Linked DNA regions of Oryctolagus cuniculus. The protein of the gene in region 2 interacts with the protein of the main gene of each other region in a pairwise test. Links are inferred from orthologs where the notes say so. Each region holds a gene or a part of one and is shown on either strand. Other genes may lie near its edges.

Region 1 (3,891 bases), on a different chromosome or scaffold from region 2:
CCGGTCTGGGGGCAGTGTTTGGGTGATAAATCTGACCTCCCCCAGAACTGTCGCTAGGAAGGGGGGCTTGTGACTGGGGAGGGGGTCAGGACCTCCAGGGGTCTTGGCCCCGGGGGGCTCACTTGGGGTGCAGCCTCCTGACCTCCCCCCCCACACTGAGGGGCTGAGCCTGGAGGAGCCTTGCGACCCTCAAAGGGCACAGTGACGGGGTGGGTGGGACACCTACAATGGGGCCCAGGCCTCCCCAGCCCAGCCTGAGACCCGGCGCTCACCTCTGCAGCGCCTCCGCCCGGCTCCGCAACGCCCCCCACAGGCGCTCCAGCTCCTCGCAGTCCTCGCTGCCAGCCCAGTCCGCAGGCAGCACGAACAGGGCGGCCGCCCCCAGCCCCGCGCGGTCCAGCAGGGCAGCGGTCTGCTCCCGCGTCTGCGCGTCACTCTGCGAAGCCCCGGGACGCAGCGCCCGCACGGCCAGCAGCGGGGCTCCCCGGGCGAGGGCAGCCCGCGCCGCCTCGCCCAGCGCCGGTGCCAAGGGCTCCCCACTGCCCTCGGCTCCGGGCAGCACCAGCACCAGCACGTCGGCCTCGGCCGCCCAGGGCCCGGGCGCGGCGGGCGGGCAGCTCAGCTCGCCCAGGAAGAGCCCGGGGCCTGCGGCTCTCAGCCTGGGCACGCCGGCGTCCGGCCGTCCCTCGGGGATTTCCACCAGGTCCACACTGCTGCACAGCGCCCCGATGAGCGCGGACTTGCCGGCCCCCGGGGGCCCCAGGAACAGGGCGGTCACGTCGCCCCTGGGCGGAGGCATGGCTGGAAGGCAAGGGGGGACGGCCGGCCGCGGTCACGGGGCACCCAGACTCCGGGCCCCTCCTCCCAGCGCCCAGGCCCCCCGGCCCCCGCTCTGCCTCCTCTCCGGCCATTGCCCCTTTCTATCCTCACCCCTCCTCCCTCCCGGATCACCCGCCCGGGAGCGCCGACGCACCTGTGAGCACAGCTGGCGGCGGCCTCGCCCCTGCGGAGCTGGGCTCTGAGGCGTGGGCGCCGGGACGCGTCCGCCAGGCCCTGCGCTGACGTCACTCAGGCCGCAGAGACTCGACCTTCCTCGCGGCGCCTGCGCAGGACGGCCGCACTGCCCGAGCGCCCCTAACAATGCGCGGGCCACAGCGCCTGCGCACTCGCGCGTAGCGCTTCGGCTTGTACGGCACGGCGGCCGCAACGTCATCATAACGCGTCGCAGTGCAAGGAAGGACCTCCGAGCTCCCCCACTGCCCGTTATTTGGAGGCCCGGGTTGGCGACTGTACTACTGCCGGATGGCAACTACGGGCTCGGCTTCGAGAGGCACCTCAGGCGGAAGCTTCGGAAGCTGCGGGAACCCCGAAATGCCACGGGCCCTACCTCGCTTCCCTGTGGGTGGCGGCGCTGTGGGGCGCCAGTGACAGGCACAGCGCGAGGCAGCCTCTGCTGTACGGAGAGGAGCGGAGGCCGGGGCGACCCGCCTGGGGAGCCGGGGGCCCAAGGCAGTGCTTGCAGGACAGTGAGGCCGGCAGCGCGTGCGGGCGGCGGGGACTCTGGGTGGAGCACCCCAGGATGGCAGAGAAGCGTGTCTTCCGGGGAGAGGCAGGCTGAAGGGGTGGGTGCCGCTGAGGCTGATGGCAGTCCAGGGTCCCACGCTCTGAGTTCAGGGAGTTGGTTTGGTGCAGCGGGAACACAGGTCACACAAGCGAGCAGGCTTTAGGGGAGCCACAGACGCGGGGAGTCCAAGCCTCTAGGTTTGAGCTTCTCTGGGGACGGCTCCATCAGAAAGAGTTCAAGGAGATGGGTACATCTTGGGGGGGGGGTCAAAGGTGGGCGAGGAGCAGCTCTGTCGATGGCGGAGGTCGTGGGATTGGCGGGCCCTCCAGGGCTGGGGACAGCCGAGCGGCCTCACTCCTCACTCATAAGGGCTCCTCCCTTGACCAGAGGGGCCGCGGTCACCATGGAGGACCCGCACCCTGAGGAGACCTTGGAGCCGCAGGAGTCGCCCAGCGAGAGGCGTCCCGGCCGCCCGGGGGGCCGCATCTGTGAGTACAGGGGCGCCGTCCAGTGTCTGGGTCCGGGGCCTGGGGTGGCCCCTGAGCTGCCCTGCTCTGGCCGCACAAGCGAGAGGAGGGTGCAGCCGGGACAGGGTGGCTTGCAGGAGAGGCTCGGCGGGAGATGCGGACGGTTCAGCTCAGCCCTGCCCTTGACTTTTCCCGAGACTGGAGCCCCCGTGCCCCTGGGCCCACGGCTGCCGCTGCCCACCGCGCACGGCTTTCGTGGGGCCGCCTCCGGCCAGTGGAGCAAGGCAGGCTGACGGGGAGCAGCCCCTGCCCCCCGGGCAGGATGCATTCACCCCCGGGACCTCACTCCGTCACCAAGTGGGCACTAGGACTTTGGGTGAGAGCCGGGGCAGAGAGGTCCCGCGGCCAGGCCAGCGCCCGTACCTGCCCAGGAAGTGTCCCGGGCAGCGTGGCTCAGAGGGCAGCGCGACTCTCGGGGTCACCTCCGGGTCCGGTGACCTCGGTGGGCCTGAGTCCACTCGTCCATAATAAGGCAGGCCCTCAACGGTCCCGTCCAGCCCGCCATGGGCGTCGTGGGTGTGGGTCTGGGGCTTGGGGGAGGCCTGGAGACCCCCGGTGGGCGACCCCCGCCTCTCCGCCTCGCGCAGGCCCCCTGGAGGCCCCGCAGTGCAGCCGCTGCCTCATCACCTTCGCCGACTCCAAGTTCCAGGAGCGCCACCTGAAGCGGGAGCACCCCGCCGACTTCGTGGCCCAGAAGCTGCAGGGGGCGCTCTTCGTCTGCTTCACCTGCGCCCGCGCCTTCCTCTCCTCCGAGGCCCTGATCGCCCACCAGCGGAGCCACGGCCCCGCCGCGCGAGCGCCCCCTGCAGGTGCACCCGCCGCCGCCGCCGCCGCGCAGGCCCGCTTCGCGTGTCCCGACTGCGGCAAGGCCTTCGCGCAGGCCGGCTCTCTGCGGAGACACCGGCAGGTGCACGAGGCCCGCACCTTCGCCTGCACCGAGTGTGGCCAGGATTTTGCCCAGGAGGCAGGGCTGCACCAGCACTACATCCGGCACGCTCGGGGGGAGCTCTGAGTGCAGCCTGAGCCCTCCCCGCGGCGATGGGGGCGCTAGGGCTGGTGGGGCCCATCTAAGGTGGGGGGTGGAGGTCCCCAGGGGGGGCTGGGCGGCTAAGCGTCCCTCCCCAGGAAGGCGAGGGCTCGTGACGCACAGGACCTGGAAGATTCTGCGCTGTGGAGGACGTGGGGCCCGTAGGGAGCCGTGAGATCAGATCATCGTTGAGAGCTTTTGTTTTTAAAAAATGAGCAAGAGGGAAATTTTATTTTTATCTCCCTCATTCCCAATTAAAGAGCTAGCTGCAGATTGCGTAATCACCTTTAATTCTCCCCAGATGGATGCCATGGGCTGTCAGGGCACCGTGCCTTGGATCTGTGCCTGGATGGGGGCGGGGAAGGGAGGCGACGCTACTGGGCGAGCCCCTCTTGAGGAGGGGAGGCGACGCTGAGAGCTCACCCCGAGGCATTGCGGGGGTGGCGCCTGCAGTGGAGGCCTTGTCTCTCCCCACTCAGAGGGGCCCCGGCGTTGAAGTGGCACCAGCCGGAGACAGCTTAGGGCTCCTTAAAATAATTCTGTGAGCGCTTCTCGTCACGGAGTGTTTTCTGTGCGTGAGCAAGCTAGCAGGCGCAGCCTCTAAAAACAGGCGCCAGAGGAAGACGTCTGCGCAGGGCAGCTCCGGCCTTTGGACAAGAAACCCACCATCCCCCCAGCACACTCAGGGCCGGGAGGGGGCGCTCAGGGCAGAGCTGGCCGAGCGCTGGAGGGAAACTGGCTTGGAGTCCAACAGAGACGCCGGCTGTTGTGTT
Region 2 (4,085 bases):
CTAATGGCTGGAAATCTGAGCTCAGTCAGAGTACAGCAGTGTTTTCCCCAGATTTAAGGAGCTCAAATAAACTTCCTTAAAAATCTGCCTCATGACCTTTTTTTTTTTCTTCTTTTGATTTCTCAGAGGCAGAGAAACAAGAGAGATAGAGCTCCTGTCCATTGGTTTACTTCCCAAAGGCCAGCAACAGCCAGGGCTGGATGGGTCCAAAGCTGGAAGGCAGGAACTTGATGCAGATCTTCCATGTGGGTGACAGGGCCGCATACTTGAGCCATTACCTGGTGCCTCCCAGAAACTGCATTAGCAAGGAGCTGGAATTGGGAACCAAAGCCAGGACTCAAACCCAGGTACTCTTGCGTGGGATACAGACATCTTGGCCAGTATCATAACCACCAGGCCAAACACTCCTGCCCTTGTGACTTTCTGAATTCATTAGCTACAGAGGGCCAGGTAGAGATGAGGGTGCTCACCTGAGGCTACACATGCTCCGTAGTGCCAACCCTCGCACCATCGGGTTAGGATCTGAGCAGTCTTTGCACAGTGTGTTGATGGCCAGGAGCGCCAGATCTGGTTTCAGGGGGGCATATGTGCACATGTACAGATAAACCAATTTCTTCTGAACAATATCTACAGTGGCACTGGCCTTCACCATTTCCATGAAAACACCAGACACGTCCAAGCCCTGTGTCATGTGCCTGAAACCAAGAGAACATGGCAGGAGGAAGGGAACTGCAAAATCCCCAACATACAAGACTATTCTCCTTATACATTCTCCAGCTAGTGCATGATCTCCTGGAAAGCGCACAGGTCTACACACAATACTTCACACCACGGGCCTGCAATAAACATCGTTCTATTCATTCAGCAAACTTACTAAATGCCTAGTCCATCCCAGTGAAATTCAGCTCTTACATTCCAGGAAAATACTCTAGGGACATACTCTTGGGGGGGGGGGGGGGGAATCATGATCTCAGGCCTCCAGAAACCCAAAGCCTATTAAGGAGGGAGACAAGAATAAACTAATTATAGTACCATAGCTAAGCTATTTAAACAAAAGTAACCTACAAGGTTCAGAGGGGACCCAGAGGTTCAACCCAGACAGGAAGCCAGAAAATGCTTCTCAGAGGAAGTAATACTTCGACTGAATGAGCAGGAGTTCGTGGCAGATGTGACAGAGAGGCGATGCTACAACGTGGGAAAGAAGGCTGCATTCTTTCGGAGTAGCTGAATCAGCAGGGTGGTCGCTGGGTGCTTACAGTAAGCTTGGACCTCATTCTGTAGATTACAGATTCTTGGGTTCCATCCCACTCTACTGAAATCAGAATCCATTGTTAGACAGGATGAAAAATACATATATATATATATTTTTTTTTTTTTTGATAGGCAGAGTGGACAGTGAGAGAGACAGAGAGAAAGGTCTTCCTTTTGCCATTGGTTCACCCTCCAATGGCCACCGCGGCCAGTGCGCTGCGGCCGGCGCACCGCGCTGATCCAATGGCAGGAGCCAGGTACTTCTCCTGGTCTCCCATGGGGTGCAGGGCCCAAGGACTTGGGCCATCCTCCACTGCACTCCCTGGCCACAGCAGAGAGCTGGCCTGGAAGAGGGGCAACCGGGACAGAATCCGGCGCCCCGACCAGGACTAGAACCCTGTGTGCCGGCACCGCAAGGTGGAGGATTAGCCTAGTGAGCCGCGCGCCGGCCAAAATACATATATTTTTAAAAAGGCATCCGAGGGGGCTTTTGTGCATAGTAAATTCTGTGAACCACAGCTGTAGGCATGAATTATGTGTTCAGATTTGTTACAGTGGAAACATTCTGACTTAAATGGGGCAAGGTGACCTACTAGTTAGCTATTGCAATTGGCTTTGGTAATGAAGGCCTGAACCAGAACACCAGCAGTGCCAATAAGAGAGAGAGACGCGGAGAGGCTGGATGTTTAGAACTGTGAGATCATCCCAGCTGACAAGAGAAGTGAGGCTCAGGTGCCAAGGTTGACTCATACAGACGGCCGGCTGGCGTCCCTCATTGACACAGACACAAGCGGAAGAGCAGGTTCGGGGCTGGGGGAAGGACCTTGGTGCTCTTTTGGGCAAACCTTTGATGAACTATCCTGGTGGAAATGCCAGGCAGGCAGTAGGACAAGGGCATCTGAAGCAACAAAAGGAGGTCTGTGCTAAACATTATCCCAGATCCGGAAGTCGGCGGTTCAGTGTGCCTGTTACAGCCTGAGCCCGGGGCTCTCCCACCAGCACGCTCCTGAGAAGCAGGAGGAAACCCCCACCGCACAACCGCCGCGGGTGACGGCGTGCACTCCTTCCCAGGGGCTGGGGGGCAGTGGGCGGTACCTAATCACTCGCTGGATGACGTTCCGGTAGCGCAGCCTATCAGCCTGAATGTGAGGGTTACACAGAGCCTTCTTCAGCTCCTTCACCACGTCCTCCGAGCCTAAGTAAGGCATCCTCGCCAACAGTCTCGGGCCACTTCCCACCGCGCCCCGGCAAAGCGTGGACGCCTTCAGGTCCTGATGCGGAGCCTGAACGAAGGAAACGTCGGTCAGGGAGAAGACACCCCACCCCACCCCGGAGCCGGAGCCCGAGTCCTGGGAGCCTCGCACCCTGGGGAGCTCCCTCCCTCCGCCCCGGGCCCTTCAGACCTCACCCCGCACCTGCAGGCCGATCGCTCCGCCTACAAATCACACCCGCTACCTCTAGGCCCCGCGTCCTATTTGCAACCCCGCCGCGGACAACCCCGCCCTCTCCAGTTCCAGCCTTTCTTGCCGGCTCCGATAGGCCCAATCGCGCTGTCGGCGGAAGTCCCGCCCCCTCGCGGAGGGCCCTCCTCTAGCAGTTGCCTCTCCCTGCGAGCGCCGAGCGCGGTGGCGATCCCGACCTTAGGGATGCCCTTCCCCCAACCTCTCACCTTTCAGCGCAGCCGCGAGGCTACCTCTGGTGGAGCTGCGGCGGGCCATCGGAAATCGGCTGCTTCGGCCTGTCTCCTCCCTGCAGCGCGCGCTTTGAGTGCTGGGGCCGGCCCTGGGCTCCCGCGCGGGAAGGAGTGGCTCTCTGTGCCGCGTCTTCCGCGGTTTGCGTCCTGGCTCCGACGGTGCCCACTCTAGCGCCTTCTCTACTGAGCTGACTTTTCCCTTAGGGCCCGTGGCCCAGTTCCTGCCCCAGCATGACGTCTGAGGCGCCGTGGTGGAAGCCTGGCGCTGGAACGCAGTTCCCAGGAAGACCCCACCGGTGACTCGAGCCCCGCCACCATGAACGGGGTCCTGATCCCGCACACGCCCATTGCTGTGGACTTCTGGAGCCTGCGCCGGGCTGGTAGCGCGCGGCTTTTCTTTTTATCCCACATGCACTCGGACCACACGGTCGGCCTGTCCAGCACCTGGGCCCGGCCCCTCTACTGCTCCCCAATCACTGCCCACCTCTTGCATCGTCAGCGACAGGTACGGGGCAGGGGACCGGAGTCGGCCTCCGCAGAGCTGGTCCTGGCGTCCGGGTGGGGAATTCTGACCTGTCACAGCCTTGGGAATCAGAGTGGGCCCCCCGGACGGCTGATTTTGACAAATGTGGAGTAGTTTGAATCCAGCCGAGCGTGGCTTCCAACTCACCGATTTGAGTATTTTAGTTGGGGAAACCTTTCAGCCCACCCACAGAAATTATCCCTACCTTTTCCCATAAACTAGGCCCATGTTTCCTAAACGTGTCTTATCTTAATCCACCTAGGCTGGGGAAATAGACATCGTCCAGCCCCCTCCCACGCCCCCCGATCTGATTCAGTAGGTTGGTGTGGATCCTAAAAATCTGGCTGGAATTTTTTTTTTTTAACAGTTGCCTCAAGGGATTATTAGGACCTGGAGAAAATCTGAGAATCCTTGACTGGATTGTTTTCTGAATGCTTGGAAGTTGTCTGAAGGGCAGGGTGGGGAACGGGAGGAGGATGGGTGGATGCTTGGGAATCCTCAGCCCGGCTTCTGCCCCAGGGTGACTCAGGATTCTGTCAGCTTTCCTTGGTTTGTATACGGGATAGTCCCAGGGATGCCCTGTTGCTCCCCCAGGTGTCCAAGAAGTGGATCCGAGCC
Region 3 (4,247 bases), on a different chromosome or scaffold from region 2:
GGCGGCCGGTCCTCCTAGCGGCCTCCCTGTGGCGCCTTCCTGGCCTGAAAGCAAGCACAGGCGCCTGTTAGCAGGGGGGAGAGGCCCCCCGGCCCCCGCTCGCTCCCCAGTGCCCACGACAGCCGGGCCGGGTCTCCCTCAGGGGCCGTCCGCTGCCTTCCCGGGCTGCGCCAGGCTCAGCCCCCGCGCCCGGGGCCACGGTCAGGGCTGGGGGCCGGGGTCAGCGCTCCTGCTCGTCCGCGCAGGACGACGGAGCCAGGACGCCCACCATCTGCTGCCCCGTCTGCTTCAGGCTCTGGGCACCACCGCGCCCAGGCCCCTCCTCCTGACCCTGGACCCGGGGCTCGCAGGAGGCAGCCCAAAGCCCCTCCCGCAGGGTCACAGGCAGGAGGCCAGCGTCCTCGGAGTCCCTGTGAGACGCTGGGAAGACAGAGGCTGGCCGGGTCCGGCTGGGCAGTCCTGGTCAGCCCCGGCCGGCGGCAGAGCAAACAGGGCGCGTGACCTGCGCCTCGAGACGCCGGGGGTCTGGGGGCTGCTGCGGCTCCTGTCCTGAGACCCCGCCCTGGCTGGGCGCCGCGAGACCCCCACAGCCACAGCCCACCCACCGGATCCGCAGGGCGGGGCCAGAGCGCCTCTCCACACCCGGCTTCCCGGGCCGGGGTCTCCAGCAGCGGGGCCCCTGCGGTCCCAGCCCTGGGCACAGCGCCCGCCGGGTCCTCTCCGGCCCGCGGGGTCCCCGCAAACGGCGCCACGGCGACCACCACCTGCACCCCGAGCTGGGCCGCTCACGCCCGCGGTCAGAGGGGGCGGCGGGGCCCGCACGGGCAGCTGCGACCCAGGGCGGGGTCTTCGTGTCCGCCCCGCGGCCCCGCACACCCGCGCCCTGCCGACGCCAGAGCCCACAGGCGGCCACGGAGGAGCGGGGGGCCGCGTCCACCTACCGCGGCGGCAACGCAGCTCCGCAGGGCTTCGAACTCCCGCACGCACAGGTCCTTGCTCAGGCGGCCGCCCGGGGCCGTGGAGGCCTGCACGCAGCGGCCGTACGCGGCGGCCTGCGGAGAAAGGCGCTGTCATCCCTGCTCCAGCGCTGACCGCCGCTCGCCCTCCCGGCCTCCGCCCCGACCCGTCCAGGCTCCTCACCTCGGCCCCGCACGCTGCCAGGCGTTCAGGGAAGGCGCGGAGGCGGCTCCGCACGCGCCCCCACACTGCGCCGTTCGCCGACATGAGCGGCACCTGCTGACATCCACGGGCGCCGCCATCTTGGTCCGTCCTCTTCCGGCGTCCAACAGCTTGATAGGTTGGCGCCTCCACCCATTATGCTCCCTGCGAATCCTAATTGGCGTGGCTTCCCGGGCCTCGGGTCCTGTAATTGGCTGTTGTCCTCGTCTGTCCCGGTCCTGGACTTCGGATTGGTACAGGCTCAATTTGTTTACGAGGCCAGTCTCAGGACCCGCCCCCCACCAGCGATTGGTGGTAGGAGTCAGGCCCGCACGGTGATTGGAGGGCCCAGGGCCTGGCGGAAGCGGGGCAGGCCGGGCGGTGACCGCGACCATGGCGGCCGCCCCGCCGCTGCGGGACCGCCTGAGCTTCCTGCACCGGGTGAGCGACGCAGCCCCGCCCGGCCCCAGCCCTCTTGGCGAGCGCACGGGGCGAGCGGAGCCGCGCTCCGAGAGAGGGAGGACCGCGGGCGGCGGGCGGCGGGCAGTGCCCGAGGGACTGCGGCGCGAACCGCGGGCGGCGGGCGCTCCCCGATGGCTGCGTTCCAGGGCGTCCGGAGGGGCGGAGGGGGACGCGGCCGTCGCCCCCCAGCTGAGGCTCCGGGGGGAGACGCCGCCGCCGGCCGCCCCGGGCGCTCGCTGACCGCAGCCGCGGGGGCCGGGCCGGGGTCCCGGGGCCGCCCAGGAGGCCGGGCGCTCGGCCTCGGCTGCGGGCCAGCGCGCCCCGCGGTGACGGAGGGCTCTTGACCCCGCAGCTGCCGCTGCTTCTGAGGGGGACGTCGGACGACGCCGTGCCGTGCCCGGGCTACCTGTTCGAGGAGATCGCCAGTATCCTTCCGCGTCCCGGCGCGCCCGGGCGCCCTCGGACCCGGGGTGGGGGGCCCAGCGCTGGCCCTGGGTGACTGACCCCTGGGGGCGGCCGGCTCAGCCTGCTGCTTCCCTAACGCGTGCGCCCCAGAAATCTCGCACGAGTCCCTGGGCAGCAGCCAGTGCCTGCTGGAGTACCTGCTGAGCCGGCTGCACAGCTCCTCCGGCCACGTGAAGCTCAAGGTGCGGGCCGGCGTCCAGGAGGCCGGCGGGGCGGGGGGACGGACGGGGCCCTGGGGAGGCCGGCGGGGACGGGCGGGGCCCTGGGGAGGCCGGCAGGGACGGACGGGGCCCTGGGGAGGCCGGCGGGGTCGGAGAGTCCTGGGGAGGCCGGCGGGGACGGACGGGGCCCTGGGGAGGCCGGCGGGGTCGGAGAGTCCTGGGGTGGCCGGCGGGGTGGGGGATGGACGGGGCCCTGGGGAGGCCGGCGGGGTCGGAGGGTCCTGGGGAGGCCGGCGGGGTGGGGGGGCCTGGGGAGGCCGGCGGGGTCGGAGGGTCCTGGGGAGACCAGCGGGGTGGGGGGGCCCTGGGGAGGCCGGCGGGGACGGACGGGGCCCTGGGGAGGCCGGCGGTGGGCGGAGGGTCCTGGGGAGACCAGCGGGGTGGGGGGGCCCTGGGGAGGCCGGCGGGGTGGGGGGCCCTGGGGAGGCCGGCGGTGGGCGGAGGGGCAGACGGGGCCTGGCGGCCGCGAGGAGGGGGTCCTGTGCAGCCCACAGCCCGCGTGACTGCGCCCCGCCCCCAGGTGCTGAAGATCCTGCGCTACCTGTGTGGCCACGGCTCCTCCTCGTGCCTGCTCATCCTCCGGCGCAACTCGGCCTTCATCCAGGAAGCCACAGGTGTGGCCGCAGGCCGGTGCCCTGACTCGTGGCCGGCACACAGCCCGGGCGGGGGACGGGGCCGCGGGGCAGGTGCAGCCGTGCGGCGCTGGCCTGGGTGGTCCCCACGGCGGCCTCGGCGGCCCAAGGCGGGGACGGCGGCCCAAGGCGGGGACGCAGCACGCCCCGCGGGAGGGACAGCCCCTTCCCGGCCGTGGTGGCCGCTCCCGGCTCTGCCCGCAGGGAGCAGTCGGGGCTCCTGCTGCGGTGTCTGGCCGCGCGGGGTGTGGGGGCGCTAGGGAGGTCCCCTCGCTCACGCAGCCAGCAGGTGCGTCCCTGGGGGCGGGGCTGGCGCTGTGGGGGGGGGGTGGAGCCACCGGAGGCCTGCGTCCACTGTCTCGGCTGCCAGCTGCCCGCCCTGGGCTGAGCACAGATCCAGCCCGGGGAAGGGGGCAGGGGCAGAGCAGAGGGGTGACGGGCGAGATTCGGGTGCGCTGGGGGCACCTGCTGAGAGGGGCTCTCGGGCGGGGCAGAGGTGGGCGCAGGCCCTGTGGCCTGTGCAGGGGCCCCCGGCAGGGAGAGCTTGGGGGACCGCGTCCCTGGGAAGCTTCACTTGGGTGGGACTCCCTTCCTGTGGGTGCTGACGGTGACTCCGCTGGGAGCTGGCTTGGTGGTTGCCGTGGAGACGGACCCCCACCCTGGGGTGGGGCAGAGCGCTCCCCGGGGTCCCGGGGGTGGGGCGGTGGCCCCCGTGGGCGGAGCAGCCCCGCTCAGCCCCGCCCCCTCTGCCTCCGTCCTGCAGTCTTCGCGGGGCCCCCCGACCCTCTGCACGGGAACAGCTTGTACCAGAAGGTGCGGGCGGCTGCCCAGGTGAGCCCAGGACCAGCGCCGCTCGCGGGGCCCGGGGAGCCGATGGCCGCCAGGCGTCCACTGGGCGCTCCTGTTCCCTGCCGCCCAGGACCCCAGCTGTGCTCCGCGGCTGCAGCAGAGCCGAGTCCGGCTGGCGGTCAGAAGTGTCGGCTGGAGTGGCTGGGCCGGGGGCAGGCAGCAGGGGGCGGGGACGGAGGGGCGGGGGCGGGGACAGCAGGCAGCAGGGGGCGGGGACGGAGGGGCGGGGGCAGGCAGTGGAGGGCGGGGACAGCAGGCGGCAGGGGGCGGGGACGGAGGGGCGGGGTCAGGCAGCAGGGGGCGGGGTCAGGGGCGGGGGCGGGGACAAGCAGCAGGGGGCGGGGGCAGGGGGCGGGGACGGAGGGGTGGGGACAAGCAGCAGGGGGCGGGGACGAAGGGGCGGGGACAAGCAGCAGGGGGCGGGGACGGAGGGGCGGGGGCAGGCAGCAGGGGGCGGGGA

What was found. The genes of interacting proteins can lie anywhere in the genome.
Region 1: the proteins of AP4B1 (region 2) and ZNF576 interact in binary tests that used the Homo sapiens proteins (3 or more experiments, as listed by UniProt). The two-hybrid records come from large-scale screens. The link is inferred for Oryctolagus cuniculus from reciprocal best matches to the Homo sapiens genes AP4B1 and ZNF576.
Region 3: the proteins of AP4B1 (region 2) and TEPSIN interact in binary tests that used the Homo sapiens proteins (3 or more experiments, as listed by UniProt). The link is inferred for Oryctolagus cuniculus from reciprocal best matches to the Homo sapiens genes AP4B1 and TEPSIN.

The regions. Positions count from the first base shown.
Region 1 is NC_091449.1:12,314,557-12,318,447, reverse strand, and holds ZNF576 (zinc finger protein 576), read left to right. Parts: upstream 1-1,321; 5' UTR 1,322-1,455; exon of another isoform or gene 1,456-1,622; intron 1,623-1,951; 5' UTR 1,952-1,967; coding exon 1,968-2,052; intron 2,053-2,678; coding exon 2,679-3,103; 3' UTR 3,104-3,391; downstream 3,392-3,891. Other genes in the region: IRGQ (immunity-related GTPase family Q protein), read right to left, coding at 273-799. UniProt on the Homo sapiens protein: May be involved in transcriptional regulation.
Region 2 is NC_091438.1:56,466,861-56,470,945, reverse strand, and holds the start of AP4B1 (AP-4 complex subunit beta-1), read right to left. Parts: upstream 2,801-4,085; 5' UTR 2,667-2,800; intron 2,535-2,666; 5' UTR 2,460-2,534; coding exon 2,347-2,459; intron 1,313-2,346; exon of another isoform or gene 1,066-1,312; intron 696-1,065; coding exon 471-695; intron 1-470. Other genes in the region: DCLRE1B (5' exonuclease Apollo), read left to right, coding at 3,261-3,449, 4,062-4,085.
Region 3 is NC_091448.1:1,342,181-1,346,427, forward strand, and holds the start of TEPSIN (AP-4 complex accessory subunit tepsin), read left to right. Parts: upstream 1-1,447; 5' UTR 1,448-1,551; coding exon 1,552-1,599; intron 1,600-1,972; coding exon 1,973-2,045; intron 2,046-2,175; coding exon 2,176-2,267; intron 2,268-2,826; coding exon 2,827-2,920; intron 2,921-3,701; coding exon 3,702-3,769; intron 3,770-4,247. Other genes in the region: NDUFAF8 (NADH dehydrogenase [ubiquinone] 1 alpha subcomplex assembly factor 8), read right to left, coding at 15-44, 942-1,052, 1,141-1,224. UniProt on the Homo sapiens protein: Associates with the adapter-like complex 4 (AP-4) and may therefore play a role in vesicular trafficking of proteins at the trans-Golgi network.